2 linked regions of the Sus scrofa genome follow. Each later gene encodes a partner of the first gene's protein in a complex. Links are inferred from orthologs where the notes say so. Each region holds a gene or a part of one and is shown on either strand. Other genes may lie near its edges.

Evidence for each region.
Region 2: EXOSC8 (region 1) and EXOSC1 share a complex: the UniProt entries of both Homo sapiens proteins name them as parts of the RNA exosome core complex. The link is inferred for Sus scrofa from reciprocal best matches to the Homo sapiens genes EXOSC8 and EXOSC1.

What each region holds. Positions count from the first base shown.
Region 1 is NC_010453.5:12,819,937-12,823,216, reverse strand, and holds part of EXOSC8 (exosome complex component RRP43), read right to left. Parts: intron 2,752-3,280; coding exon 2,678-2,751; intron 1,503-2,677; coding exon 1,457-1,502; intron 798-1,456; coding exon 692-797; intron 610-691; coding exon 564-609; intron 1-563. UniProt on the Homo sapiens protein: Non-catalytic component of the RNA exosome complex which has 3'->5' exoribonuclease activity and participates in a multitude of cellular RNA processing and degradation events.
Region 2 is NC_010456.5:108,839,936-108,844,152, forward strand, and holds the start of EXOSC1 (exosome complex component CSL4), read right to left. Parts: upstream 2,893-4,217; 5' UTR 2,883-2,892; coding exon 2,795-2,882; intron 2,672-2,794; coding exon 2,556-2,671; intron 1,544-2,555; coding exon 1,469-1,543; intron 1-1,468. UniProt on the Homo sapiens protein: Non-catalytic component of the RNA exosome complex which has 3'->5' exoribonuclease activity and participates in a multitude of cellular RNA processing and degradation events.

The DNA of each region.
Region 1 (3,280 bases):
AAAACTGTACAGGTTGGATAAAAGCTGACTTTTTACTACCAAAAGCTGACAGGTGAACATCTCCATTTCACTCAAGGGAACTACAATGATGAAGGAATTACTTCTGAAAATTTAAAATGTACTTTACCATAGAAACCTCAATATATGAAACTTTTAGATCTTAATGCTTAATACATCAGTATAATCAAATAGGAAAAGCCTCTAGGTACTAGTCAACTTAGTTCAAAGTCTCCAAACAGACTTTTGGAATTTATACTGTGGATTCACCTCAAACACATGTTAGCTGATCAGACAGTAATAATCTGCTAGAAGAAATTTTAAAATGACTTATTTCTGTAAAAGGGGAGATTACATCAGCCTAAGAGGCATATCCTAGCCAGGTACTGAAGTCATCAAAATTGGTTGTTTAATTTTTTTACCTTTTTTTAGTGAATTCCATCTAGAATGGAATCTAGTAAAGACATCAGTATTTAAGGCTACTGTTTTTTGGGTTTTTTTTTTTAATTTTTCCCACAAAACCCACCAGAATTAATAAAAGGTCATAGCCTCTTTATTCCTCTTACCTTTCCTGGAGAAATGCATAAGTCCTCTTTCTGAATTATCTGTGAACTTGATTTAAAGACAAAGAGCATGGTAAATAAAAGTTCCAACGCTCTAAAATGAATGATAGATTTTATCAGGATGATCTTACTTTTCAATGACATCTGCAATGAACTGGCTGGCCACTTGGGCCTCTTCTCCCGGAGGGCCAGACCGAAATCTCCAGGAACACAGAGGTGATAGATCCACATTAGGAACTGAAAAAATACTGCAGCTATGAACCAGATTTCATCTCTGATTTAGTGATAAAGGTATTATCAATCCACTGCAAAAGCAACTAGCCATGGAAAGCACTGTAAAACATCACATATATCTTTTCATCTTTGTAATAAGAATCCTGGGCTTAGACAAAATTTGTATTTTCCAACTGTTTTCCACACAAGCAATATCAAAAAAAGTATATTTAGGGCCTTTTTCTAAAGGCCTTTCACTAAAGTTCTTATATGTCTTTCAAAATGCCCCAAAGTGTAACAGAAGATAGCCCCCCTCCCCAGTCATACCAAGTGTTACGCATTTTTAAAATGTTGGTTCTCATCATAATGAAAAGATGGTCCAAGAAAAAAAAAAAATCACATGGTGGTATGAATAAAACTTTATGGAAACAAAAGTTTGTAATTATAGCCTTTGCCTAAGATTTTATTTTCTTGGTTGATGACATCTATACAAAAACTGATCAAAAAAAGATACTTATAAAATTATCTTGCTATTATGCTATCTTCTAACATATACAAAAAACTTTTCAGGAATGTCTAAAGCTTATGAATACTCTTCAATTCACCTACTAAGATTTAACTATAACAACAGTATTAACTATGTTAAAATATTTGTATTAAAATTACAAAACCATTTAACTCACCAATATATCCTTTATCAGGAGCATCTGTTGGTGGCGCTCCAAATTCCTGTAGAAGTAAACAAATGTTTCCTATGAAAGAAGCTGCTAAAAAATTGAGAAGGCAGCAGTCAGTTACGGAAGGCTCTTCCGTCTTAGCTAGTTAACTACATCCTGAGCATCTCCTGTGCTCGGGAGGGCGTGACAAGGGCTCTAGGGCCACTGGCACCACTCCTTACAAGTTCTGCAAGGCCAGAAGGCAGTAGAGCACAGCTGACTGTCGTGCCACTCATCAAAATTACTTGGGGCTCGTTAATTGGATTTCTGCTCCACCCTCTCTTCCACTTATTCAGCAGCCAGGACTGAATTTAAACCTAGGGATACTGACACAGCCAGATTTAGAAACTGATGGGAGGAATCAAAAGCAAATGTCAGAATCACACTTTGTAGCTCAGAGACTTTGAGGAAGTTATTTAACCTCTTACCATTCAACTTCCTCATTGGTAAAGTGGGAAGTTAATAGGGCCTACTTTCAGAAGATGTTAATAAGGGTCAAATGAAATAATATTAAATCCCTGACATAAAACCTAAAAAAGAGTAAGTGCTCAAATCTTGTTACATATCACTGCAACCTTTACTGAAAAAGAACCTGAACTTAGATTAAGCAAATTACAAAGTTCAGGATAGTCAAAAAAGCAGAGACTTTGGAGTTAGTTATGTCTAAATTCAATTTATGAGCCTTATGTTCCTAGACAAGTTTTTTGAACCTCATGTAAGATAGGAGATGAAGAGAGAAATATTTCAAATAATTATTCTGAGGTTTAAACTGGCTAATTTTTTAAAGCACCTAATATAAGGTGCCCAGGATATAGCAAGTACTCAGTTAATGGTGGCTATTACTCCCTCAAGCTTTTCCTTTAAACAATTTTCTACATGTTTGCACAGATTAAATGCCATCCCTGCATAAAAAGATGTCACCCAAAATCCCTCTTAATTTCTCAAATTACAACCAAATTTTTAAAAAATTAAAAGTGGTGAGGGTTTTTAAAAAATTTCATTTCAGCACATTTGCAAATGTTCATAAATTATAATTGAGTCATTAAGCTTGCGAAATGAAAACAAATACTAAAAAACTGACATCTGATCACCTCATCACCAGAACTATAGGTGTATATTACAATCTAATAAGTGTATGAACTAATTTGGTAACTCAAATCTTTATAGTAATATACACAATAAACTTACTGCTTTAATTCCACAAATTACTGTAGTATTTCCCAGCTTCACTAAAGAAGAACCATCTGCAGTACCAATTGAACCTGAAAAGATAAGTATTTAAACAAAATGAAAAGCACTTTTTTTTTTTTTTTTTTTTTGGTCTTTTGTCCTTTAGGGCTGCACCCACAGCCTATGGAGGTTACCAGGCTAGGGATCCAATCGGAGCTGTAGCCGCTGGCCTACATCACAACCACAGCAACACCAGATCCAAGCTGCGTCTTCGACCTACACCGCAGCTCATGGCAATGCCGGATCCTTAACCCACTGAGCGAGGCCAGGGATTGAACCCAAAATCTCATGGTTCCTAGTTGGATTTGTTTCCGCTGCACCACGATGGGAACTCCTTTTCATTTTCTATGTATGGTTTTATCTTGCTACATATCTCATTTGTTTACAAAATTGTATTCCTTGAGTCTTTTTAAAATTATAGTTGACCCTTAAACAGCATGGATTAGAACTGCACCAGTCCACTTATACAGGCATATTTTCAATAAATACTACTACAGTACTACATGATCCACAGTTGGTTGAATCCTTGATGCAGAACCCGAGATATGGAGTACCCATTGT
Region 2 (4,217 bases), on another chromosome or scaffold:
TAACTGCTATTTATTTATCCCTGGATAAGTGATTACAAAAAATGAAACAAGAGCCACTCTACACCTAACAGTTACTGTGGGAATCAAATGAAATAATACGGTACAGATTTAGAAAAACATACAAGTCTACACAAGGAAATATAGCAAATCTAGCTAGACTTTTAACAAACTTACTAAGAGCCCTGTAGTGTGAACAGAATTTAAGTCTCCGTTTCAGTTGCTGCATTCTATTTAGATCACTGCCTCTGCAGTTTTCAACATGACAGATTTTGAAAATAGATTTCTGTTAGAGTGATTTATAGAGAGAAACAAAGAGCTATGAGTTAATTTAACTGGCAGAGAGTGGGGATGGGTAGGGAATACTGATGTATTATAGCTACTGATAAGTGCAGCATTAATTTGTACTTTCCCTCAAAGACTTTATAAAATCTTTTGTTTCTCTGCCGAAAAAGTTTTGCTTCAGATGCTCAAATATAGGCCTCCTCCATCATTAAAAAGTCTACAAATAACAAATGTTGGAGGGTGTGTGGAGAAAAGGTAACCCTCCTATACTGTTGGTGGGAAAGTAAGTTGGTGCAACCACTATGGAAAACAGAATGGAGGTTCCTCAAAAAACTAAAAAAAGAATTGCCACACAATCCAGCAATCCCACTCCTGGGCATATACCTGGGAAAACTACAATTTGCAAAGATACATGGACCCCAATGTTTATTACGCCGTTATTTACAATAGCCAAGACATGGAATCAACCTAAATGTCCACTGACAGATAACTAGATAAAGAAGATGTGATACATATATACAATGGAATACTACTCAGCCACAAAAAAGAATGAAATAATCCATTTACAGCAATGTGGATGGATCTTGATGATCGTACTAAATAAGTCAAAAACAGAAAGACAAATACATGATATTACTTATTTACGATATCTAAAATATGACACAAATGAACTTATTTATGAAACAGAAACAGACTCACAGACATAAAGAACAGATCTGTGGTTGCCAAGGGTGAGGGGGCACTGAGGGAGAGAGGGATTGGGAGTTTGGGATTAGCAGATGCCAACTATAATATACAGAAGGAATAAACAAGAAGGTCCTACTGTACAGCACAGGAAACTATATTTAATATTTTGTGCTAAATCATAATAGAAAAGAACATGAAAAAAAAAAAAGCTTCCTTATCACCCTTTGGTGCCTCTGTTTCCCAGTCAAAAGTAAATCTACATACTCAGGGAACCAGCTCTGTAAAAGAACCATGCAAGCTTGAACTGGACCGCATTGATCATTATCCTAGAAATCTCTAGACTAGCACAAGCCGGGAAAACCTTCTGTGATGACAGATTTTAATTTATTTAAACGGCCACATATGGCTACTGGTTACCATACTGGACAGTGCTATTTTACAATGATCATGATTTCAGCATTGGATGGTACCTTAAGCAGGGAGTTTAGGATGAACTTACCTTACAGGTCACAATAGCTCCCACATCTGGCAATAATTGGGAATCCGTTTCTCTCATCACAGATATGACAGGAAGCTACAGCGAGAACAATAAAACATGAGTATCCTGCCTAAGCCTTCAGTAAAGGTATTTGTGGCTTGACAGTAATATGCATATGCCTCGGGCCACAGTTGACACAAGGACAGGAGGACTAGATTCTTTTGTAGCCCAGAGCAGAAAGCCTTAGAAATTTTAGGACAGGGAGGGAGTGGGATGGACTGGTAGCTGGGGGTTAGTAGATGCAAACTATTACATTTAGAATGGATAAGCAATGAGGTCCTGCTGTATAGCACAGGGAACTATACACAATCACTTGTGATAGAACATGATAGAAGAAAATATGAGAAAAAAAATGTATATGTATGTATGACTAGGTCACTGCAGCACAGCAAAAATTGACGAATACTGACAGTTGACTATACTTTAATAAAAAAAGACTTAAAAAAAGAAATTTTAGAACATAGGAGAGCCAAGGGGCCACAGAATGCTGCTCGAAGGCATAATCCAATCATTTCAGATGAGTTCCTGCAGAATGAGTTAATTCCAGAGATCAGACCCACCCAAGCCACAGCAGCATCCTAAGCCACTGAACCACAAGAGAACTTCCAAAATTCTTTTTATTAGTGGTGTTTAGGAGGGCTTATATGAGAAAGTGGTACCAGTGGGGCTATCTGAAAGTTAGGTAGGAATTAAATAGGCTAAGGGAGGAGTTTTCTTGTGGGTGAGTGGATTAAGGATCTCACTTTGTCACTGCAGTGGCTGGGGTCACTGCTGTGGCGGGGATTCCATCCCTGGCCCAGGAATCTCCACATGCCCCAGGTGCGGCCCCGTCAAAATAAACAAACACAGGATAAGGAAGAGAGTAGCGCGTTCCAGACAGACGGCGTGTGTACAAAGACTCTGTGGCTCACTGGGGACTCTGAGACCAACTCCTTCTACTGAACGAGGATCCCGAATCGCGCCCGCAGGGCCCTTGCCTAAGGATCGTGACATCAAAAGCAGCATGAGAAAGGCAGAAACCGAGGAGAGAGGAAACCAGCCCCTTTACCGCGCCGTTCTCGCTGCTCTTCGTCAGGCAGCCAGCAAGCGACGAAAAGATGTAGCCGTGCCGGGTGTAGGTGCCGCTGCCGGGGCTCCCCTCCTCCAAATTACACAGACGTTCGCCTGCGCAAAAAAAAAAAACCCAAAAAACCGCTGCATCAGCCACAGGACCGCAGAAGCTGTTGGTCGTCCGGCCTTCCTGCCTTTGCCTCTGCCCAGGATTCCCTCTGGGAACCGCCGACTTACCGGGGATGCAATACCTCACAGGTGGTGCCATGACTGCCTCTGTCCGAAGTCCGAAGGAAAATGAGGTCGACTGCTCATTGGCCAACATCAGGTGTGCACTCCCGCAGTAAGAAACGCGCCAATTGGTGACTTCTGTCACGTGCTCGCCAGACTCACTCTTGAGGGGAGGGGTAAACTCCATTTCCCAGGTTGCCCCGGGACGGGCTTGGGGGCGGAGTTCCGGAACTCCTGCGCTTGCGCTTGCGCCTGTGGAAGAGAATGGGCAGGCGGCGGGTCCGGGTCTGCAGGCTGGAGCTGTGGGCTGCTGGACATGGTTGGTTGGGTTGAGCCGGGCCGGGCTGTGGCGCGGAGCTGGAGGGGGTAGCAGTGAGCTGCAGCGGAGGCTGCAGGATTCGATTTGACTGATTGGGGAGGCAGGTAAGAGCGAAGCCACGGCCTTTGCTGCTCAGTCCTGTCCCTTTTGCTAGGGTCGGGCCCTATTCCGGCCTTGTGAGCCCGAGTTCCTGCTCTGTACGGCCTTGCCTTCAAACCGGGCGGAGCGCACCTTCCGACAGTCTTACGGTGCAGAGTTGAAGGAGGTCAGCCAACCCAACTCACCCATTTCACAGATTTGGAAGCTCAGCTCCAGAGATAGGATTTGACTTGTGCAGTGTCTCTAAGATAGTTCAAGGTAGAGACCAAATCGGTATCCAAGTTATTTTACTTCCAGTCCATCACCCTTTGACCAGGCCAGCCTTTATGTGAAGTAAAACCTTTTCCTGGTTTTTGTAACTGCAGCTTGCATCTTGCGGTCGGATCTTGTCAAGTGGAGCGTGTTAGTCTGGCAGGGAAGTCTGCGCATGAATAAAAGCTGCTCTCTCTGATGATTGACGTCCAGTACTTGAGACTGCAAATACCCTGAGAACGGCATCTTTGTCCATATGAGATTTGTCGACATTTTTCTCGGTTTCCTTTGCCTTCTGGTGGCTTTCGAATCCCTTCTCACCCCACATGTCCCGCATATCCGGTTTCCCTTTGGAAGAGAGATGGTGACTTAGAGCCTTTGAGTGTAGTGGCTTTCCATCTCCTCTGATCTGTGGCAGATGTCAGATGTCTCTTCTGATGGCCTGTGGCTACTACTCAGGGATCAGAATGCTCAGAGCTAGGGCTGGGGATCAGTAGTGGGTGGCTCTATTTCCTGTCCTGTTCACTCCCGCCCCCCTGACCCCCAGCACACAGTTTTGTTTTTTTGAGTTCTGCTTTACCTCAGTTTCATGAGATGAAAACTTCATATGTTAAGTTATAGCCCCATGGACTAAGTATTCTCTTCCCTGGCGTACACCCTCCCCTGCGTGCCCTGTGCACAAATCCCTAAAATAAGGGGCAGGGGCTTGGCCTCAGTCTTCCTTTACAATAATCTGATCTGTAGCTTTGCATCTACAAG